2 linked regions of the Astyanax mexicanus genome follow. The protein of the gene in region 1 interacts with the protein of each later gene in a pairwise test. Links are inferred from orthologs where the notes say so. Each region holds a gene or a part of one and is shown on either strand. Other genes may lie near its edges.

Region 1 (12,788 bases):
AGCTCTCTGCCAACCTCAATCTCAGCCTTAACCCCAACATAATACCCTCCCAAAAAAACTATGAATATAACCCTTGACAATCAATTAAAGAAAATATTTAATTAAACAATTTAAATTAAATGAATGTTTGTAGATGTTTGCTGAATTTCAGAAACTGAAATGTGTCTTAGCATTGGAACATAGCACGTCCAGTCATTCATACTGATAATAAAATTCGCAAAGCAGTTCAATTCACAAAAAAATAAATTGTTTCACAAGCGAGGGGTCCATGAGACCCTGGACTCTTTTTCTAGGCTCTTTTTGTCTTTAGTCTGCCCAGCAGCAGAGTGACCCCTCTGCAGCTCCATCCACGCGGATTCCGACGTCGCCTTCAATTAATACAGAACAATTAACGCACAGATTGCCCTTATTCCTCTCCATTCATGAAGAAACGGCAGAATCTTGGCACACCAAGCCAGACTTTTTTTTAGCCGCTCAGAGATGCACTGTAACGGCGATGACAAAAGAGGCGCAGCGGGGTCGCGGTGTGACACACTGAAGCTGAACAGAGGGAGAGTTCGGATTAAAGCGGCGTTATGCAGGAGATTATTGTATTTTAATCTAAACGTTCAGAATGATAACTCCGTTCCTGCCGCTTTCATTATTTTGGTATTTGCTAATTATATTGTTATCTAATGAGCGAAACCTCTAATAATCAGGACCGTTAATTAATCATTAAAACATAATAAGAGAATTCGCACCTCTCCTCCGAAGCTCCGAACAACCTCAATACGACATAAAAACAGGATTTTTAGATGTTTCTTACAAAGGAATTTCTCCGTCATTGCTAAACTTGTCTATATAAGTTAAAATATATATATATATATATATATATATATATATATATATATATATATATATATATATATATATATACACAATATATTTAAGTCTATATCTATATCTTTAGTTCGTTTGTTTTGTTTTGTTATATTTTGTTTTTAGCAATAAAAAATATATGGCTCAAATAAAATTTCAGTTCAGGACAAATGTAGATTCGTTGACCTGGGAATGTGAATGCCCGAGAAAGAAACTGTCACTTTTTGTAACCTTTAATTTTTAATTAGATTGAAAGGCTTTTGTTTTTAATTTATTGATTTTAAATCGGTGTGTGTTTTATATATATTATTTTTCAGTCCTACAAATTAAATTGTGGTGGTGGTTTTAACTATCATCGTTATTTCTTTATTTAAAAGCATGTTAAATTTTAACTGCATTTAAAAAGTTACTTTGGTAAGTTTTCATTTAAAACATTATAATATACATTTAGTATTATTTTTGATTGAGACATTTAATTTGACATTGTCTTCTTTTGTGGATTTTCATTTTTAACTAAATATTATGTTTAATATTGATTTATTCTTTTTCCACTTTTAATTTAATTTATATTCCATATGTTTGATTTTTGTTTTACTAATATCATTTAATGCTGCATTGAATATTTAACTTTAAAATAATGTTTTAAATTATGTTGATTGTAATTTTTGAGTTAACTTCATTTTTACTATTGTAAGTCTTCAGTTTGTGTTAAATATTAGTTTTGTATATCTTGTTTAGTAAAATTCAGCTTGCCGATTTTCCACCTTTACCTCCTCTCCTTGCAGTAGCTAAACAAAGCGCCTTACCTGAGTTGTAGGTGTTGATATCGATGCCCATGGCGGGACTCTTGCGTTTCCGTGGCCTGCCCTTCTGCACTGCGCTCGCGCCGTTGAAGTAGGGCAGAGCGAGCCCACCGCCCTTGGCCGCGAGCTCGGCGTAGTTGAGCGGCGCGTGGTACTCCCCCTGCACCAGGCTCTCGAAGTGTGCCCGGCAGTAAACCAGGTTCTCCCGCATGCCGAAGTGGTCGCCCGTCGTCAGCGTCTTGTTGCACGACGTGCATGTAAAGCAGCTCAGATGGTACACGGAGTCCCGGGCGCGCATCACCATTTCCGAAGCCGAGATGCCCAGGTGGCAGCGGGCACACCTCTGCACGGAGAACCTTCTGGAACAGTCAAGAACGCCATTTACAAACAGGCCGATTTCCCCCACTACCACCAGTTTACCAGTTTATCTGTTTTAATAAGCATTTGCAGGTTTGAAGGACAGTGATTTATCTTCTCAAGAAGCTCTGTGGCCTGTAGGCCGTGTGAGCCCATAGTTCGGTATTTTAATTAGGCAAAATTGCAGTTATCAAGGAATGAAAATTCATTCATTAGATGAATGTGGGTGGTCCAAATGTGGCCACGCTAATTTGTGGAATATTCCTGTATACAGTGCATGTCATGCTAAACCCTTTAAATGTTGTCTTAGTGAGTTTTGTAGTTGTTTCACTCTTGGTGACAGTGCTGTAATTTTTAAGTTTTGTACTGTATGTGTTTTTGATGGATAGAAAGATAGAAATGCCTCTTTTTTTCCGGGCTTCCTTACCTGTAGTAATCCTCTTTGCAGTAAATGCTGCCATCCTTGGCGAAGCAGGTCAGCTCCGACTCCAAGGCCAGTTTACATTCACAGCACTTGAGGCAGCGGAGGTGCCATTGCTTGTCCACCGCAAGTAAGTAGTACCTGTCTGAGATCTTGGACCCACAGCCGGCGCACAGGGCGGGTTTCTCCGGGCTCACGGAGGGCATGCTCTGCGGAGAGAGCACCCAAACACCTCTTACATTCACTCGAGTGTCAAGCATTGAAATTAACGCAAGGAAAAACACGCTAGCCTGTTTAAAGCAACTCTTACCTGAAGTAAAATAAATAAAGCACAAAAATATATAATAATAAAAACACACATGAGCTGTGATTGTTAATACAGATTAGTTTAGCTTTCTAACCTTGCAAAATAACAACTTTGCCAGAAAAGGGCAAAGTTAAACAATAGATTTAGGGGTGTTATTTTAGCGATTGTCCGATTAGGCCTCACTTGCTTATTTCCGGTAGCAATTTAAAAAGGCCCATTATTGGTTTTATTGTTAACGTTAATAGTTGTTGTTATTAATAATCATTTAAAAAAATAATAATAATATTGTTGTTGTTGTTGTTGTTATATAAGTGTAGCTGAATTATTTAAACAAGTAATTAAACTATTACCAACACTCCAGTAAAGCCCAACTAATATTTTGACAAATAGCTTGTTTAGTAGTTTGTTTGTTTTTTCACTGCATTCGATCGATTTTTGATGATGGGACTTTGATTTTTTTTTTATTTTATTAGCTACGTTTTTTTGCAAATGGCCAAATTCTTTATTCTTTTCATTTTAACCAGTGACCTAGCCTAGCCCACCAGAGCAAACAGCGATTTCCCTCACCAGTAGCCTCAGACTCAACACCACATTTTTTTTACTCCTTTTTTTTGTGCAAATATTGAAGTTAAAGATCTCACCGTCTCCCTGCCGTTCATCTGGACCGTTTTGGCCAGCCGCGACTCCGACTTCGATCTCCTCTCCATCTCCTCCATGATCCCTTGGATGTGCTCCCCGGAGATGCCGTGGAAAAGCATGGCTGCTGGACGCAATGTGCAACTGCTTTCTCTTGCCTTGCACCCCACCACTTCCATACGGCGCTCCGCAGCCTCAGACCATCCGAAAAGGGTCTGCAGCTCGCTCGAAAAATGCAAAATTGCGTGAAAAGGCTCCTAAAAATTTCTAAAGGTATAAAAAATTGGGGGAAAAAAGACTGCAGGCACCTTTAACGCGCCGCCTCTCCAAAAGAGACGATGCAAAACAGGAACATTCGGTGGAGCACCCTGCACTCCGTTGAGACCTTTAAAAAACAGAAAAAAGAAGGAAAGAAAGAAAACAGAGTATAATCCTGGTGGTAAGGCAAATGCAGACAGCAGGCAAGGTGTGTGTGGTTCGGCCGCGCTGATAGAAGAGTTCTAGTTGTGTGTTTTTAAGGTGAGATTGAGATAGTCCCGGTTTGCTGTCAGGGATCCGAGTGCTGGAAAGTGGAGTTTGGGACTGTGCTGAGTTGCAGAGCCCGTGTCCTATTTGTGAAGAGAGAGCACACGCCTGCCCAGCCTGGGCTAGTTGGGAGGAGGAGTTCTCCCTCTCCCTCACTCTCTCTCTCTCTTTCTGTATCTCTCTCTCTCTCACTCTATCTCCAACGACTTCTCCTTACCAACAAAGAGCTGTCACTCTCTCCTCAAAACCCTGCTGATGGGCGCTGAGGAAAAGCTATCTCAGTGTTTCTGGCTGTTTACTCTTACCTCCAGCCTCTTTAGCTAAGCACTTTCCTTCGTCCTCATGGTTTGTGGCTTTGTTTCTCGTGGCGGGAGGGAGCGTTTGGTGAAGTAGAGAGAGAGGCACCAGTAAGTTCTGGTTTTAGGGTTCAGTCAGTGAGTGGACTGGGGTGGTAAGCACTCAGAATGAACAGCATTTTTACAGGGTTATTATTATTAGGGTTATTGTTGTTACATTTTTTGAACTTGGTGTTGGTGGTGATGGTAGTGAACGATTTAAGATTATTGAGGTAGATGTTGTGAAGCAATTGCTGGTCTTTTTGGGATAGCTTGGACTGGAAGATCGATAGATGTGTGTTGGCTTAGTTTAGGAATTGTGCGAAATAATATAAAAAAACAGCTTATGATTTTATTTCGGTGATAATGGAGTAAAAGTGGTTCGCTTACAATTGGTGTATAGTGGGATCTCATTAGATATGATCATTTGGGTATGTGTGTGAGAGAGAGAGAGAGAGAGAGAGAGAGAGAGAGAGAGAGAGAGATGTAGCTATAGATGATCTTATAATTATTATTTTTTTAAATATATGATAAAGAAGTAGAGTAGTCGATTACAGAGATGATCATTTTTTTATTTTGTATTCCACTGTTTCGGAGAGGTAATTGTAATAAATTGTATTAAAAAAAATTAGAATTGGAAGTAGCGGTTTTGTTCATATATATATATATATATATATATATATATATATATATATATATATATATATATATATATATATATATATATATATATATATATGTGTGTGTGTGTGTACATGTGTACAATATATACAATGTGTGTGTGTAATTGGCCTGCAAGTGAGCTTTAATCATTTGTATTCTTCTTATTCATGATTCATCTTATTTATTCAAATCTGCTTGTCTTTTCATTCCGTCCTGCAGTTATTATTTTACAATACTACAAAATTACTATTATATATATTTTGTAATTAAATAACTACTACAATATCCCATTAGAGGCATAAGTAGTGTTATGGGAGGTAAATGTCCCGCTCCTTTTGTCCCTTTTCGCTCTGTCAGTTTGATCAGATCGTGTGAGGCGTGACGGAAAAAGACACCGAAAATTAGATTCACATTCAAACAACCATCGCCAAATTTAACTCGATCAGAGAGATTAACTGAAATCCTGAGGATTAACAAAAATGCTCACGTGCACCGTTATAAAATATATATTTTCTGATGGATCTGATAATAATCTCACTAACATCCTCTCATCTGTCAGAGCAAATTTATATTTTTTTGGTATTTGTACGCGACAGATAGTTCCAAATAGTAAATCCTTTACTTGTTAGTTTAGTATGTTTTATATTTAAGATCTATATTTCTGCATTTAATTACAAGAACGAAAATAAAAATGTATCTACTTCTTCTGCATCACATATAATAAAATAAAACAAATAGAAAAAGAAACAGAATAATTCCGTTTTTCTCACAATATAAATATTAAAACACAAAACGCAGTTTCGTGACTGTATAATAAATATACAATTTATCTTCATTATGAATTTCAGAATGTTTTAATTAAATTGACGTTTAAAAATTAAAACGATAATGCTGCATAAAAATGCTGATTGCAATTATTTAAAATGATTGATTGCGAATTATTGATTGATTGTTTATCAGATCTGCGTTCAGCAAATCAGGCCTAAATCTGTAATCAAATCTTAAACCTCTTTTCCTTCAAAACCGTTTTAATGACAATTTCACAACGATCTCACACAACAACAACAGCAGCCAACAAACTGACCTGAATCTGAATCTAAAACTGAATCTGAACTGCGCTGATATTACCTGTCTACAATAAATGGAAATATGTCAAATAAAATGCCAGCGAGGCTACAGTGATAATAATTCTCTTTTTTTATTAGCCTCTCATATAAATACTATAGGCTCTTCGGAAATGGCCAGCATGTCAGGCACTACCATCTCTATAATATATAAATATATATTTAGCTGTAGGCGAGAAAAGCTAAAACAGAGCAAGAGCTGGAGATCTTTACCGTGCGCTGAGGTGCCGTCCTGCGCTGAGCCGCGCTGGAGAGGAGGATGGCCACACTGCAGCCTATGGAAGGGAAAGGGATGCGAGAGGGATCCTACCAGCAGATGGGGGCTGTTCCTTGTTTCTTCTCCTCCATGTGGGTGTCAATTACTACAGAGCCGCGCTAGGAAAGGCGAATTTACATGCGTGTGATGCGTTTCATTATTTATCTGGAGGATCTGGAGCGCAAGGCCTCGTCCGGGGCTTGACAAAACTGGAAAATATTTTAAATCTAAGTCTGGGCTTTAGTGTGTTGCGTGTGTGTGTGTGTGAGATAGAGAGACAGAGAGAGAGATTGAGAAAGTAAGAGGAATAGGCCCCATCATTTTACTTGCCATCATGTATTGACACAAGTCGATTCTTACCAATTAACGTCTAAATAAACGTTTGCTGATCAATTAAAAAAAAAAAGTTACCCGCGTAAAGTACAGGCTTGCTTTGACCATCACTGTACGATTAGACTGTAAATGCACCATGGTTAATACGACGTTGAATTGTAAAATACATCGAACAGATGTGTGTAGAAAAAAACGCATTCACTGTTATAATAGACGTTACCTTAGGTTGGAAAGCATGGCGTTTCAGAGGGTTGAGTAGAACAAGCTAAATAGCCGAACAGGATGCTTATGAATGCCGTTCTTTCAGAGTCACAGTCATTTTTTTATTTACCCACGTTTATAGGAAACACAAGAAAAACGGATCTTGAACTTAAATGCCCAACCGAAGTCTTTTGAAAAGTAATGTATTTAACCGGCCCACACAACGATTACAAGATACATCAGAATTAAAAATTAAATAAAGAAATAAGTTGTATACAGTTCTGGAAAAAAATCTAAACCAGTTTCTCTGATTTCACAATTTATAGGTATGTGTTCGAGTAAAATAAACATTGTGTTTTTATCCTATAAACTACGGACAACATTTCTCCCAAAAAATATTTTCATTAAGAGCATTTATTTGCAGCAAATGAGAAATGGCTAAAATAACCAAAAAAAAGATGCAGAGCTTTCAGACCTCAAATAATGCAAAGAAAAGAAGTTCATATTCATATCATAAGTTTTAAAAGTTCAGAAATCAATATTTGGTGGAATAACCCTGGTTTTTAAGCACAGTTTTCATGCATCTTGGCACATTCTCCTCCACCAGTCTTACACACTGCTTTTGGATAATTTTATGCCACTCCTGGTGCAAAAATTCAAGCAGTTCAGCTTGGTTTGATGGCTTGTAATCATCCATCTTCCTCTTGATTATATTCCAGAGGTTTTCAATTTGGTAAAATTATATATATATATATATATATATATATATATATATATATATATATATATATATATATATATATATATATATATATATATGAGAGCGAGATTGTGATTTTTGCATCTTTTAATTAAAGGGTAATTTTAACTAAGTAAAAACCTTAAGCGCTAAGTACATACATTAATAGCTAATAGTAGCTACATTAACAAAATGCCTTTAATTTATTTGGAAGTCTACAGCTGAGTTATCATTTTTAGGTGGATACTCTTAAGAAATCTTTATATATATACACACATATGTATGTTACTGCATGTCCAAATTTGTAGACAGAGAGCCAGACACACATTAACCTGTTGTTGGATAGGGAAGTATACAAATATGGCATTCTTTAATTGAAAGTTACTGCAAAAGGTTTTAATTTCAGGGCATTTCAGAGTATTTCTGATAAACAGACACAATGTAGTATTTAAATCTGCAAGATTCATACAATGTCAGAAAATGATAAACAGCAAATTGGAGATATAAGGTTTTGGCATGATACACATGCTGATACACATACAAGCATGAACACAATGACCCTGTGCCAAATGCCAAGCCTAGGCTAGAGGGGTATAAAGACTCCAGCACTGATTTGTTGAGCAGTAGAACAGTAGAACTGTGTTCTTTGGAATATTGGTGCTCCATCCAGTACTTGTGACATGTTTTAGAAAGTTGCACTGAGTGCAGTCAAATTTTTACAGCAATGTTCCAGAAGGTAACAGAAAGTCTTCCATATCTTTACTCCTAAAAAGTCAGGATAGATTATTTTTAATAGCCGTGACTTTGGAAGAAACAAAGAAAGAGAATATGTCCCAATACTTCAGTTCCAACTAGACTGCATAGAATATAGACCAACAAGCGGCAAATGTTAAATATGACTTATAAACTTATAAATTTGGATTTTCTGTAATACCAAAACTCTTTCCTGTTGCAGAAGCCGTGATTGAATGAAGCAAAGATACACACAAAAAAAACATAAACCTCACAGACATCACAAGCCATTTTTTCTTAATTGACATATAATATTTAAGACCCCTGATTCTCCTGTGTTACTTATGGGCTTCCTTTACAGTGCTCTTGTGAGAGCAGGCAGTGGCCTAGCCACCGCAGTATTTACACACACAGATCCGTTTAAACGGTGGACCCAGAAACGTCTTGTGTTGTCATGCTACACTTTTGGAAGCCTCGAATTTACGTAGCAGATGCTGTGCACCGGCATTTAGAGCTTTGATTCTGATAGGGGACGTTCATTCTGGAGAGCCTAATGAGAATTTACACCACCACCACCACCTCCCATCCCATCCCCCCCACACACAACACACACACACACACACACACACACGCACAAACTTTTTCCCTTCCTCCCTTCCTCCATCCCTCTGCCTGCTTTTCTTGATGCTGAGCCCTGCTCTGCTGATGCTACAATCACTATTCCCCGCGTGTTGACAGATGGAGGATGGCTCTGTATGACTAGCTCGAGTCCCTACAGTCCAACTGCTGCCTACCCAACATTTTTTTCTCCCCGTTGTGATTCAGAGCTGACTGATCCTTGAATCATCAGATTGGTTACTCTACAATGTATACCCAAAAGCTATCAGTGTTCTTATCATGGTAAAAAAAAAAAAAAAAACACTCCTACAAATCAATGATGTGATTTTAAAAATGAACAGTAAACGTTAAAAAGATAAGCAAAAAACGAATAGATCTTTAAAATGGTTAAACTAGCACATTTTAATTTACTTAACTTGCTATTTCAAATACTGTGCATTTAACAAATTTCATTTTGACAACTTTTAATGAAATTAAAATAAATTATGCAGTAAGTTATTAACAAGAGAGCTTAACATTTCCTTAATGTACTTTACTAAGTATAGGTAACACTGACAGTATCCTGTAATCCTGTGGCAGCACACAAGCAAACACCAGCACCATGTCTACACACATTCTCCCTCAGCAACACAGAATAATACAAGTAACTCGTTCTTAAAAACTATAACACTGAAGCTTGGCAAATAACCAATACATAGAATACAAATGCATACCTAGGAGAAGGTAGCTTCAAGGGAGTGTAGAGTGTAGGGTCAGAGTGTAGGTTCCAGGCCAGTATGCATATATAGCTCTGGAAAAAAATAAGAGACCACTACAGTTTCTGAATCAGTTTAGCTATTTATAGGTATATGTTTGAGTAAAATGAACATTGTTGTTTTATTCTATAAACTTCGAACAACATTTCTCTCAAATTCCATATAATTATATTGTCAATTGTTAAGTGAAGTTCTGGCCATTCGTCCTTGTGAAAGACTTCTAGACTCTTGGGTTGTCTCGCAGTACTGCTTCTTTTGTAGTCTATCCACAGATATTCAATGGCGTTTGGGTTGGGAGACTGTGAGGGCCATGGCAAAACGTTCAGCTCACACTTTTAGCGGTAGTCCATTGTGGGTTTTGAGTTGTGTTTATGATCAGTATCCTGCTGGTTAATGCAGATGGTGTGATGTCTCCTTCCAGTATTTGCTGGTATTTAATTGATAGTGTTTTTTTTTAAATAAATTCTGCAGCCTTTTTTCTCCAAACACACTTCTGGTCATTGCCTTCAAAATATTTCATTTTAATCTTATTATTAAACTTATTTCTTATTATCTTATGTATTCAGCTTGTTTAGATGCTGTATTTTGGTGATGAATGTGCAGAAAAAGTTTTGTTCTAATACTGTTCCATGAAATTAATTATATTTTAAATTATTCAATTAATTCATTGTAATTTATTACAAATTATTATAATTTAAGGAATGCACTCGATTTTAGACAACAGAGAAATCATTTTTCCCAGCTTAAATAACATTATGTTTCCACCTTTTCATTTCCTGTCATGCATATGTCCACCCTGTCATGGGATGCTGCACAACAATGTCAGTGGACTATGACAGGATGGACAATTTTATCAGTTTTTTTTTTTTAATATGTTTTATTACCTATATATTTTACCATGGCAGGGTATACAGTGTAAACCTTACCTCAGCTTAGTAGGGAGAGAATACAAAAACTATTAAGAAAAAATAATTGGTTAAGATGCAACAAGTGTCTTCCGTCTCTTAAATAAAATTATACAGCGTTAAGGTTGTGATGTCACATGCGTTAATGGTTACTTTCTTATTATCCCAGGGCCAATTATCCCAGGATGATGGGGATGAGAGGGAAATCTTGCTCATGTTTAAATAGGTTGATATTTTCGTGAAAGTAGTTATAAATAATCATAATAAAAAAAAATTAAATAGCATTAAACAAATATATGTAATTAGGTTTCTTAAACTCTTAAAATAATGATTCAAATTAATGAGGCAGCATGGCAAACAAGACAAAAATACCACCCCAATAGACACTGTAACTGAATAAAAGGTACAGTTCAAAGTTTAAACATTGAAACATTGATTGTTACACAAAACACTGTGTAACAATAAATGTTTCAGTCTTTAAATGTAAAATGTATACAATTTTAAGAAAAATCTGGTGTGAAATGGACTTTGTGTGTAGGTAGTAGTAATGAGTATGAATAGCCCACCTCTGTTCACCACTTAAAGTATCAGTTCCCTTGGAATTCTTCCAATAAGTGTGGAGCTACTTTGAGCTTTTAATTGTGTAAAAATGGTGATTTTTTTTAGCATGGGCAATGCTATGCCCCAATCACTAGCATTGTAAGCCTGTTGGGAGCATCAGCTAAAATCTCTGTATTTTGGAATGCTGGGGGTGAATGGAGGTGTGGCATTCAACACAAGTTTGAACTCATTATCATGTTTCACTACACCCCAAGTCCATTTCACACTGGATTTCTCCTTAAAACAACTATACTGCAAATACAAAAGGCAATTCTATTGATACTGACCCTCAGATTTGTTCAGATATTGCTGCACAGTAGAACAGTGCACCAGCATTCCAGAGTAGAATTCCAGAGCCTGCTAAATCTTCTTTATGGTATTTTAGAGTCACACAACTGAAAATTGAGAGAAGCACAAGCCACAGTTTTAACAAGCTAATTAAGGCCTGAGATCTCGGTAAAAGTTACAGGCTTTTCCATAAAACATTAAACTGTTTTAGAGTTTTTTTGGATTTTACCAAATTATAAACCTCTGGAATATAATCAAGAGGAAAATGGATGATTACAAGCCATCAAACCAAGCTGAACTGCTTGAATTTTTGCACCAGGAGTGGCTTAAAGTTATGCAAAAGCAGTGTGTAAGACTGGTGGAGGAGAACATGCCAAGATGCATGAAATTTGTAAATAAAACCAGGTTCGTTCCACCAAATATTGATTTCTGAACTCTTAAAACTTTATGAATACGAACTTGTTTTCTTTGCATTATTTGAGGTCTGAAATCTCTGCATTCTTTTTTTGTTATTTCAGCCATTTCTCATTTTCTGCAAATAAATGCTCTTAATGACAATATTCTTATTTTGAATTTGGGAGAAATGCTGTCCGTAGTTTATAGAATAAAACAACAATGTTCTTTTTACTCAATCATAAATCTATAAATAGCGAAATCAGAGAAACTGATTCAGAAAATAAATAACGTGGGCTGATTTTGTAGCTTAGTTTACACATATGAATTATAATTACTAAAGAGCAAAAGGTTTATATTTACAAATTGCTTTTCCATGTTTTGCGCACTCACATAAACAATACAGTAACAGCCAACAGTAGAGTCAATAGGTCATTTAAATTTTTATGGATTTCTATTTAAATACTGTCACTTTCCAACATTTGACTTCTTGCTCCTGGCTGATAACCTATAACACATGGTCTGAAAACCCAAACAAACACAGCACAACTATATCTGACACCTATAATTACAGAACATGGTTAAAAATGCTGATAATCTTTAGTTTGAGCTTTAAGAGAAGAGGTGAGGAAAATGCTACCACATGCATTGTGGATCACTGCCAAGCTCAGAGAGGATTTCTAGAACAGAGCAGCTCCTGCACACCCACTGGCGCCAGCATCCAAATGGCCAAGCAGAACTTATCTAGTTTCAGTCTCCAGTCTCTCTGACACGAGTTTTAGCATCCTGACTCCCCATACTTACAACAACAAACACTTTCAGTTAGCTACAGACAGCATAGACTTATCTTACTAACTTTTCTTAAATATTTCTGTCTGAATTATTCAGATTTTTGGCAAAGAACATTCCTCAATTCTCAAAAGTCACGTGTGTACCAGG
Region 2 (12,654 bases), on another chromosome or scaffold:
AACGGTAAATAATGAGATAAAAAATTCGTACCACGTCTCCGTGAGGGAACAGCTGGTAGAGCGGTTCTCGGGTCTTCTCGATCTCCACGGAGACAGTGATCTGCTTCTGTTTCTCCAGCTTACTGTTATATTCCCTCACCTGCTGGATCATCTTCACCTGATCCTCCGCGTTACGCCCCTACACACACAGAGACACGCCCATCGGCGCCCATAGGGTGTTTCCAATAAAGTGGCCACAGTGAAAGGATTAGAAGCACAAGGTATGTAAAGGTAGGGTGTTTCCAATAAATTGACCACAGTGAAAGGATTAGAAGCACAAGGTATGTAAAGGTAGGGTGTTTCCAATAAAGTGGCCACCCACAGTGAGAGGATTGGAAGCACAAGGTATGTAAAGGTAGGGTGTTTCCAATAAAGTGGCCACAGTGAGTGGATTGGAAGCACAAGGTGTGTAAAGGTAGGGTGTTTCCAATAAAGTGGCCACCCACAGTGAGTGGATTGGAAGCACAAGGTGTGTAAAGGTAGGGTGTTTCCAATAAAGTGGCCACAGTGTGTAGGGTCTGATCTCACCTCCCAGTGGATCCATTTATACTGACTCAGGTCCAGTTTTGAGAAATCCTCAGCTGTTACATCAGGCAGGTTTCTGATTGGACGAAGAAGCAGATAAGAGAGATAAACACACCGTACCTGTTCACACTGATCTATTAGACTTTCACACTCACACAAACACACACACACACACTCAGTCACGCCTGCAGGTGCTGGGTCTGATAGCGTGTGATTGGACTGTGTATTATGAGATATAAATGATATGATTTTATAACTTTATTACAGAGAAAGGAAAACTTCCACGAGCTGTTAAATCTCAGCATTAACTTCACAGAGCTGGACTTCACCTCCCTCAACCAATCAGAGCGGAATAAACGCTGATATCAGACCCTGATTAATAATCAGACAGGAGAACTCCAGACCCGGAGCAAACGTCCAGCAAGAGCCGAGATCCATTAACTCCAAACCTTTACAATCCTCTCCTCTCCAAACATTTCCTAAAAAAAACTCCCATTTACTTTCTTATACTGATTTAATTTACTTCTAAAATTTCAAAAAGTTACTCATAAATTACTAAACTCATCCAAACTATGAAGAAAAACATATTCAATTATTTAATAAACAAAAAAGTGGATTAGTATCTCTCTTTTGTGTTTTTTTTATCCTCTGTGATTTTATTCTTGTCCAGAACGATCATGTAGGTGTTTTTCTCAGACGTCCTCTGAGAAAATTACAGGCTGAATTATCTACTGTTTTTCTCTGAACTCCGTGCTCCTCCGGTAATTTTAGTCCTGTCCGGACGCACCTCTCTGAGTTTCGTCTCCTCGCCTTTAATAAAATAGATATTTGTCCACTGCCGCGCACCGCAATTACACTTTGGACACGCCACGGTTTCCACGGAGATCCACGTTAAAAACACAATAGTGAGTGGAAATGGAGGAGCTACTGAACTCTGCGATGTCATGTGATCGAGAAAAAAGCCTAAAAACTCACTGATCCTCCTGTTTTTACAATTGCAGTCCAGATGCAGGAGTTTTATCACTAAAGAGTAGAGACATGAAATATTTTACACAGGGCTGTAGTTTTATATTTTAGATTCTTTAAAGTAGCTCCTCTTGTTTAGATGATGAGTTTTGAACATCTCTGCTGGATTTTCTCAGTCAGTTTTATGAGGTAGAGTCTCCTGGAATTCAGGCTTTCAGTTAACAGCTGTGCTGAACTCATCAAGAGTTAATTACTTGAATTTCTTGTCTCTTAATAAAGTGTTTGAGAGCATCAGTTAAAGTAAAGTAGTGAAGAGGTAGAGTTACAGGTATACAGTGAATAGTGAATATTTCAGTAATGTTCGAATCCAGATTATGAGAAGCAACAAATACTCAACTAAATATAATGATGAAACTGGCACTCATCAGGACCGCCCCAGGAAAGAAGAGCAAGAGTTTCCTCTGTTGTACAGGATGAGTTTATCAGAGTTTCCAGCCTCAGAAACCACAAGTTTACAAACAGCTCCTCAGATAAGAGTATCTAAATACTTCACTTAAAAACACTTTTAAGTTACTACATGATTCATTATGTGTTCCTTCATAATCTGATAAATCACTTTACTATTCATGTAATATGTGGTAAAAAATAAAAAACATTGAATGATAAGGTGTGTCCAAACTTTTGACTGGTGCTGTATATCCAATCAGAGTACAGCTCAGTCTTAAACAGTCTAAAAACTTACAAATTTAATGCAACAATTTAATAAATATCATGCATGTCTTATTTGATGAATTATAGAACTCTAATTGTGTTTGAAATTGTGAAAATTACAAAAACATGCAACTAATTACCATATTAATTCAGCATGCAGGGTAATCGTGGGTCAGGAAGCCATGATTAGTAAATGCGATCAACTATCGAACAGAATTAATCCGAATTATTACAGAACCACTGCAGAGACACGCTTAATAACACGGCCCAGATCAAAGCAGTTTAGCTCCTCCCACTTATCTTACAGCAGTTTAGCTCCGCCCATTCAGCCTACAGCAGTTTAGCTTCTCCCATTCATTAAGGTAATGAAGAAGCGTTTGAGGTCGCTGCAGTGGACTGGTTAGCTCTCATTGGTTCTGATGGAGGTCATGTGACCGGCGGCCTGTCTTACGTGTCGGAGAGAACGACAGTACGCGTCCCGGTGCTCGGACACACCACACAGCAAGCACACGGCGTCTCACCCCGCGACTGCCACGCCACGCCCGACACGTCCACCCCACGCCGACCAAAATCACCCACGATGAAGCTGAGAGAGAGAGAGACAGCACCCAGTGCTTAGACTGAGAGAGAGAGACAGCACCTAGTGCTTAGACTGAGAGAGAGAGACAGCACCCAGTGCTTAGACTGAGAGAGAGAGACAGAGAGACAGCACCCAGCGCTTAGACTGAGAGAGAGAGACCGAGAGAGACAGAGAGAGATAGAGAGATAGAGAGAGAGAGAGCACCCAGCGCTTAGGCTGAGAGAGAGAGACCGAGAGAGACAGAGAGAGATAGAGAGATAGAGAGAGAGAGAGCACCCAGCGCTTAGGCTGAGAGAGAGAGACAGAGAGAGAGAGACAGAGAGACAGCACCCAGAGCTTAGACTGAGAGAGAGAGACAGAGAGACAGCACCCAGCGCTTAGACTGAGAGAGAGAGACAGAGAGAGATAGAGAGATAGAGAGAGAGACAGCACCCAGCGCTTAGGCTGAGAGAGAGAGACAGCACCCAGTGCTTAGACTGAGAGAGAGAGACAGAGAGAGAGAGACAGATAGACAGCACCCAGCGCTTAGACTGAGAGAGAGAGAGACAGAGAGAGATAGAGAGAGAGAGAGAGAGAGAGAGAGAGAGAGAGCACCCAGTGCTTAGACTGAGAGAGAGGTAGAGAGAGAGAGACAGAGAGAGAGAGACGGAGAGAGAAACGGCGAGAGAAACAGAGAGAGAGAGAGAGAGAGAGACGGAGAGAGAGACAGAGAGAGAGAGACGGAGAGAGAGACAGAGAGAGAGACAGAGAGAGAGACGGAGAGAGAGAGAGAGAGAGAGAGAGAGACAGAGAGAGAGAGAGAGAGACTGCCGCCTGCTGACAGAACCTGTAAAACCATCAAAATCATGCACCGCTGGCGCGAGAGTTAGTGAGCACAGCGCCACATCACCACCTAGTGGTCAGACTGAGAAGTGCAGCACGCTAACAGTTACAAGTTCTGACTTTCTGATGCATCGCTGTACCGTGGGGATGAGAAACACACACACACATATACACACACACACACTCACACACACACATACACTCACACTCACACACACACATACACACACACACACACATACACTCACACACACACTCACACACACACATACACACACACACACACCTGTTCATGTGCAGGATGGTGCGGCTGCCTGTGGTCTGATTGCTGATTACTACAGACGCGGGGAAGGAGCAGTGCTCGTGCTCCAGCAGGAGAGAGACGTCAATCTTGTACTGTTTAAAATCATTCAGAACGAAACTGCAGGAATAAATTAGTGAGTAATTCAAACACACACACTCTCACACACACACTCTCTCACACACACACTCTCACACACACACACTCTCACACACACACTCTCACACACACACTCTCACACACACACTCTCTCACACACACACTCTCACACACACACACTCTCACACACACACTCTCGTACACACACACACACTCTCACACACACACTCTCGTACACACACACACTCTCACACACACACTCTCGTACACACATCTGCCCACATGTGTTGCTGCCTCTCATGGTAGGGCTTCTAAGTGGCATTTTTCAGCAGGATAATGCTCACTCACACACAGCAAGAGATTCCTTCATACCAGCATTTATGGAGCAGCTGAGACTCTGCAGCTTCAGCTTCAACCTACGAGTGTAGAGCTACAGGATCTACAGGCCCAGCTGTAGCAACATCTGTGGGTAAATGTGTGGGTGATATATTTGCGGTGCATATATCAATATATCCACACACATCTATTATGTATGCATGAATATATATATATATATTTTTTGCCAATTTAATGCAGCCCTAATATACAGCACTTCAGTTTCTGAATCAGTTTCTCTGATTTTACTATTTATAGGTTTATGTTTGAGTAAAATGAACATTGTTGTTTTATTCTATAAACTACAGACAACATTTCTCCCAAATTACAAATAAAAATATTCTCATTTAGAGCATTTATTTACAGAAAATGAGAAATGACTGAAATAACAAAAAAGATGCAGAGCTTTCAGACCTCAAATAATGCAAAGAAAACAAGTTCATATTCATAAAGTTTTAAGAGTTCATAAATAATCAATATTTGGTGGAATAATCCTGGTTTTTAATCACAGTTTTTTTCATGCATCTTGGCATCATGTTCTCCTCCACCAGTCTTACACACTGCTTTAGGATAACTTTATGCCTTTAAGGTGATTTATAGTAATTAATACTTACTCAGCTACAGGTCCTGGAGCTAAAGAACCCATAAAGGCACAGGGCGCCCCCAATAGGGAGAGGATGGTACAGGAGTTTGATGCATTTCCACCCCTCTGCCATCGCTGCGATACACACCTACCAACACACACACACACATTATACACACACACACACACACACATGCATGCATGCATTTACAGATAGACATTAGAAGTGTATAAATGCAGTAAACTGAATTAAACACAGGCTGCAGCTCAGTCTACTGCACCAGCTCTATTCTGCACTGTCTGACTTTAAAAATGCAAAAGAAGCACCATATCAGAGCATGTTCTCAGCGGAAGTCAATGTAGATTTTGTTATAGAGCATGAATCACTATATTATTGTAAAGTTATGGCAGTGAGAGGTCATTACAAACTACTTTTGTATGTTTTAAAATAATAATTATAATATTTATTATTATTAATTTTCATTTGCTCTTTTGTGCAATAACAGTCCAGAGTCCAGGTTGTTTAATGCACATAAAAAATCAGAAAAAAAATATATTATAAAAAAACCCACGAGAAATAGTTAATAACTGTAGGTCAGCGCATGCGCAGTGCCTTTAGAAAGCAGAAGAAGCACGTATCAATGGGTAGCATAACTCGAGTAAACACTCGGTTTATTATACAATAATCCGAATGATCTAAAAATGCAGTAAAAGTAAAAGCAATAAACCGGTTTTCAGTGTAAACCTGCAGCAGACCTGCTGTCCGTGTCCTCTTCCGGGTATTTATCCACCACATTAATGATGTCCAGACACACCAGGCCGATACACAGCACCTTCCCCTGCCGCTCCATCCCGCGGGCCGCGCTGCTGGACTCTGGACACGGGGGTAAAGGGGCGGAACAGCGCGCGGGTCCGCAGCTCCGGTCCGGATCGCCGGCCGAGCTTCACCGAGCCCACACGAACCGCCCCAAGCCTCTGTTTATGTAGTTCCACCAGCGGCCGCCAGAGGGGGCACTGTACCGCCGGTTCAGCCACACACACACACAAACACTATACACACACACACTCTATACACACACACACTATATACTACACACAAACTACACACACACACACACACACACTATACACACTATACACTACACACAAACTACACACACACACTACACACACACTATACACACACATACACTCACATACACACACACACACACTATACACACACATACACTCACATACACACACACACACACACACTATACACTCACATACACTCACATACACACACACACTATACACACTATACACTACACACAAACTACACACACACACACACACACAAACACTATACACACACACTCTATACACACACACACTATACACACTATACACTACACACAAACTACACACACACACACACACACTACACACACACTATACACTCTCACACACACACACACTATACACACACACACACACACTATACACACACACTATAAACACACAACTACACACACACACACACACACACACACACACACACACACACACACACATATATTAAAATACCTCCCTAAAACTTTTATTATAATACACTATAACAACACATTATTACCTTATTAATCAATAATCATTAAATACTTAGTCATAAAATACATATGAAGTATTGCATACTTCAACAAGTATTTAAAAAGGAAAAAGGTGGGAAAAATACCCCAAAACAGTGCAGACACTGAACTTCAGCCTCTCATTCAGCCTGTTCATTTGTTGTTAAGTGAATCATTCGCGATGATACAACAAATATAATATAATATAATATAATATAATACATTTTAATGGTACAAAAATCATAGGCAGCCAAGATGTCTCTGTATATGGAAACTGGAAATACTGGCTGTTCACTCACAACACTCACAACACTCACTTTAATAGACTGTTTACAGTTTTTCTGGATTGTTTACACACAATTTCTGGTACTTGAGACACAATGACCACAACATGTAACTTACGTACCAACCCCTTGAACCAGTTCTGCTAAACTACAAGCACAATTCCTGCTTAACACTCAAACTGCAGTTCTAAAACACATTTTCAAAACGCTGCATACACAATTTTCTGCATTTGGCACAATTTTCATGAATAAAATCTCTTGTTTTCACAAGGAACACACTGTTATTCAAAACTCTAAAGTTTAAAAGTCTACTTTGCACACTGACTGGTCACATGGGCAAACACCCTTCACACAGGTTATACAATCAGCAATCAAAACTTTAGCAGACCCAAACAGAAGACAGGATGCAGCATAGTTTTTTTTTTTTTTACTCTAACTTTATACAATAAATTCTTCTGTTGTTTTGTATGTAAATCACTGCATCTTTGTGTTGGTTGCATTGTACACTGTGTGCATTGTTTTTATTGGAAAAATAAAATATATTTTTACTGTGTATTTGTGTGTTCTGAGTATAAAAACAATGTTATTAAATATTTACAACGCACTTATGTATTTACTGTCTGTAGTAAGTGTAACACTGAACAAAAAATGACAAAAGTCATTATGATGAATGGAGAATTGTGTTTTACACTGGGCACATCAGTGTTCAGCTGCTTCTTTTGAGTGTCTGTTCATATGATGGTTTGTGTGTATCATCTAAACACAAAATAGCCTTTTTTGAAGAGATAACACTGTTTTGAATGTAAAGTTTCATTTTGCAGGATAATTGAAGGGTTTTGCCTACTGTGTGCTTGTTTGTTGGATTTGTGTTTAGAGTTCTGAGAATATGAGGCATGTTCTCAGAAAATGTGTGTAAACAATCCAGAAAAACTGTAATTGGCTATAATATTAGTGTTCATGATTTTTTACATTACATTACATTACATTTGGCAGACGCTTTTGTCCAAAGCGACTTCATAAGTTGGTGCTGATTTATTTTTATTGCTTTCATTTACTTTAAAGTAAATGTTTTAAGTGAATTATATAATGAATAAATGAAATACTTATTCAATATGATCAGACAAACTAGATTCTAAATGAAAACTGAATACTGAAATACTGGCTGACTGAAACACTGTACTGGACTTGGTGCTGATTTTATTTCATTTTATAATTAATTGTGTTTGTTTTTAATTAATTTATTTTTGTTTTAGTTGCTGTATTCTATTGTTTACATATAAAAAGCAGCAGCTGTTACCACGACTTAGAAGCTGCACTGTTATGCTAAGATAAGCTAAGCTAATCAAAGCAAAGCTAAGACAAGGTAAGCTAAGCTAGGCTAAGTTAAGATACATTAAGTTTAGCTCACCGAAGCTAATCTAAGCTAAGATACGGTAAAATAAGCTAAGCTAAACTAAGGTAAACTAAGCTAAGGTAAAATAAGCTAAGCTAAACTAAGGTAAGCTAAGCTAAGGTAAAATAAGCTAAACTAAGGTAAGCTAAGGTAAAATAAGATAAGATTAACTAAGGTAAGCTAAGATAAGGTAAAATAAGCTAAGCTAAACTGAGGTAAAATAAACTAAGCTTAACTAAAGTAAGCTAAGCTAAGGTAAAATAAACTAAGGTAAGCTAAGCTAAGGTAAATTAAACTAAGCTAAACTAAGGTAAGCTAAGCTAGTGTAAGCTAAGATACGTCAAGTTAAGATAAGGTAAGCTAAGGTAAAATAAGCTAAGCTAAACTAAGGTAAGCTAAGCTAGTGTAAGCTTAGATACGTCAAGTTAAGCTAACTGAAGCTAAGGTAAGATACGATACGCTAAAGAAAGCTAAGTTAAGCTAAGCTGTGTTAAAATAAATTAAGTTAAGCTAACCGAAGCTAAGGTAAAATAAGCTTGGTTAAAATCAGGTAAGATAAGACAAAAAACTAAGATAAAATAAGCTACATTAAAATAAGGTAAGCTAGGGTAAAATAATAAAAAAATATTTAAGTAAGCTAAGCTTGGTTAAACTAAGGTACGTTAGCGTATGCTAAGCTAAGATATGGTAAAATAAGCCACGATAAGAAATGCTAAGATAAGGAAAGGTAATATAGGGTGAGCTAGGCTATGCTATAAGTTAAGTGAAGCTAAGCTAAACTAAGCTAAGCTAAGATATGGTAAAATAAAAAAGGAATGCTAAGGTAATATAAGCTAAGTTAAAATAAGCTAGGGTAATATAAAGTAAGGTAAGCTTATATAAATAAAAGTAAGCTAAGAAAAGCTAATCTAGGGTAAGTTGAAATAAGTTAAGTGAAGCTAAGCTAAAGTAAGTTAAAGTAAGATCAGTACTAATATCAGATACACCTCACAGATCTCTGTGGTGATCGGGATCAGGTAGATTTATATTATTATTAGATTTTATTTGTATTGGTTAACATTTATTAAAATTTATGGTTAGCGCAATGCTAATCTGATAGTGCTAATCTTAAAACTCTCCAATTTCTCACAGAAAAAAAGATATTTGTATTTTTATTACATTTTTATCCTACACCAGTTTGGAGATTGTGGAGTGATTTGATAAAATGTAAGGAGGAGAATCTAAATTAGTTAACTCGATTTTTTGTTCATTTAGAGTAATAAAACAAAAGGACAAACATATTATATACATATACATGTGTAATATATTCTTATTAAATGTGGCACAATGCATTAGTTAGGTTAACTGACCTAATATGATTTGAAAACAAAACAATTTTAAATAATAACTTTAGTAGACTTTAAAAGCAGAAATGAAAATGCTTCTCTAGGAAGGTAACGACAAATAGCCAAACGTTGTAATTTTCTTACAATGTTTTTTGTTTGCTAGAATCAAAGTCTGGGGATTTCTTAGCAGGCTATTATCTTTGTTTGTTTTATACACAAACCAATATGATCTGACAACAAATCCATTTTAAATTATTTAAAACTTAGGTGCTATCTACTTTACGTTTCTCTGACCAGCAACAGTTAAAATGTGTTTCAAAGCATGCAAGTAATACAGTTTATTTTAACCCACTTGTTGAAAAAGACAAAAATGTAGAAGTAAGTTTTAGAACACACTTTAGTTTTTTTTTTTTTTTCAGTTTATTTTGCTTATTTAAGCTGTTCATTTCCAGTAAATGTAGCCTGAAAGGGCACAAAATCCAGCAAACTTAAATCATACACAAGTTAGCAGTAAACTAATACTAAACTAAAACTAAAACCAATAACTAGTAAACTTTTAAGAAAAAACAAAAACAACGAAACACTGACAAAATAGTAGTATAAGAAGTATAAAAAAGGGGATGAGGGTGCTTTTTAAAAAAGCAAGTAGCTGGTTGTAACAGCTTACAACTGGTCTGTTGTAATGAAAAATAAACTGAGCTTTGGAAATGGGTTTTAAAAAAATTGAATTTCCAAACTCTCTGCAGTAAAGCTGTAGTGCTGGAACAGATGGAGTTACTGCTGTTACTCTCTACTGCAGCAGCATTTACACACTTTCATCATCATAATAACTAGTAAAAAACTGTAGAGAACTCTGTAACTATTAAAAGTAGAAGTTCTTTCTTTTCTTTAGAGAAATTACAGATACAGAAGTCAGAGAGCGGTGAGTACTGTTTCCTCCACCTTCAAATAAAGACTCTTAGAAACTGGAGAAAAAAAACTGCTACAGGAAGACGTCTGGCTGACCCACATGGAAACAGCAGCTTTAGCCTTTAGCTCAGATTAACATGATTAAGAACTGAGTCTCAGTTTCAGCAGAGAAGAGAAAAAGAATTGAAGTAAGTCTGAGTCACTGATAAGATAAAGAGAAAATAAAAACATCACTGCAGCTACTGCACTACTGGGGTAAACAATTGTGGTATTCTAAATCTTATGACCACTATTTCTTAATATGTGAAGTACATTTCAGATACATTTCCAATAGATTGTTTAATTTTAATTTTCATACATTTTCAGTGCAATTGTAAATGCATTTCATATATATTATTTTTCCTTATGAGGTTACTCTACAGCATGATTAGTTTTTAATATTAACTCTATATAAATCTCAGTTTTTCAGTGTTTTAGTGTAAGTGTAAAGCTGATTTTGCCCGTGGTGGTGTTGTATAGCAGTGTAAAGTCGTGTGTAATGGGTGTTAATGTGTGCTAACAGGAAGAAAAGCATACAATAGAGGCTGAAAACAATAGGCGAGGGGTCAGACCGGCCCAGTTCCCCCAGTTCAGCTGGGTCTGTTGCTGGGAGATGGTGGGAAACACTCCAGTGATCTGCAGGAGGTTTGTGAGGATCTGCCAGCGTTCTGCTCTGATTCCTCTCTCAACTCTTTAATCAGCTGGATGATCTGAGTCTCAGAAATGCACAGGGTGAGTATTGTATCTGTGATTAACTCTAATCTGAAGTTCTGATTAGATAGATAGATAGATAGATAGATAGATAGATAGATAGATAGATAGATAGATAGATAGATAGATAGATAGATAGATACTTTATTTATCCCGAAGGAAATTTAGGATTAGTGTAGAATTCACTGTAGAGTTACCCCCTGCACTACAGGCCTGTTATACAGTCAATTAGTAACCTTAAAACACAGGAACTACTGCGAAACATTCATTAAACAGTAAAAAATACCAAGTATTTACTATTATAAAAGTAGTATCTACTGTTAGTAGTAGTTATTAAGTATTTACAATGCATTATTTATTATCTACTATGAATTATTATTTTAAAAGATATCCCTAATAGTTTCTACTTACTGCGAGTTATACAGATAGATAGATAGATAGATAGATAGATAGATAGATAGATAGATAGATAGATAGATAGATAGATAGATAGATAGATAGATAGATAGATAGATAGATAGATAGATAGATACTTTATTTATCCCGAAGGAAATTTAGGATAGTATTCACAGTATACACAGTATTCACTAAAAATTATTCAACTATGTCCACTATGGGTTATTCAGTATTGACTATAAATTAATCAGTACCTACTACAAATTATGCAGCTTGTATTATAAAATAATCTGTAGGCACTATGAATCATTTTTCATTCTCTTTTTAGCTTTCCATGTAAATGATTTAATAGTAGAATATCTACTATTATTTGTTCGTCAACTACTGTGAATTATCCTGTGAATAGTAACTATTATGAAGTATTTATTATCTACTATTATTTATTCAGGGTCTACAGCAAATTTGCTTAATTTGTTAAGTGGACACTAAAAATGTTGATTTAACTCAATTTTATTTATCGTGTTCTATAATTTATTATTATTTTTTCAGAATCCATTATGAATTATTCAGCAGCTACATTTAATTATTCATTTACTGATTTAAATTTTAACTATTTTGAATCAGTTATTATGCACTTTCAATAATTTATTATTCAGCGTTAACTGTGCATTATGCTTTATGGATTTTTCGGAATTCACTATTTGTTTTAGTTAGTACTATATCATATTCTGTAACCCAGATAAACCCTTATGCCTTAAAAAAGTTAAGTAATGGGCAATGAAAACATAAGTTAGCATAACTTAAAATATCAAGTAAATATACCTTAAAAAGGAAAATTTATTTAACTTTTTAATTTTCTTATACAAATTTATTTACCCAACAATTCTACCTACCAAGTAAATAAATATGTTGATTTCTACTTACTTTTCTTTTTAATTCCATTTTACTTATTGTGTATGTTGAAATATTCAAGAATAAACAGACCAACA

What was found.
Region 2: the proteins of lhx9 (region 1) and khk interact in binary tests that used the Homo sapiens proteins (3 or more experiments, as listed by UniProt). The two-hybrid records come from large-scale screens. The link is inferred for Astyanax mexicanus from reciprocal best matches to the Homo sapiens genes LHX9 and KHK.

The regions. Positions count from the first base shown.
Region 1 is NC_064423.1:21,337,449-21,350,236, forward strand, and holds the start of lhx9 (LIM/homeobox protein Lhx9), read right to left. Parts: upstream 6,352-12,788; 5' UTR 6,243-6,351; intron 4,716-6,242; exon of another isoform or gene 3,768-4,715; 5' UTR 3,562-3,767; coding exon 3,388-3,561; intron 2,649-3,387; coding exon 2,446-2,648; intron 2,021-2,445; coding exon 1,665-2,020; intron 1-1,664. UniProt on the Homo sapiens protein: Involved in gonadal development.
Region 2 is NC_064421.1:546,837-559,490, reverse strand, and holds the start of khk (ketohexokinase), read right to left. Parts: upstream 6,086-12,654; 5' UTR 5,853-6,085; coding exon 5,758-5,852; intron 5,150-5,757; coding exon 5,033-5,149; intron 4,065-5,032; coding exon 3,930-4,064; intron 2,828-3,929; coding exon 2,693-2,827; intron 641-2,692; coding exon 568-640; intron 179-567; coding exon 32-178; intron 1-31. Other genes in the region: ankef1b (ankyrin repeat and EF-hand domain-containing protein 1), read left to right, coding at 11,282-11,290. UniProt on the Homo sapiens protein: Catalyzes the phosphorylation of the ketose sugar fructose to fructose-1-phosphate.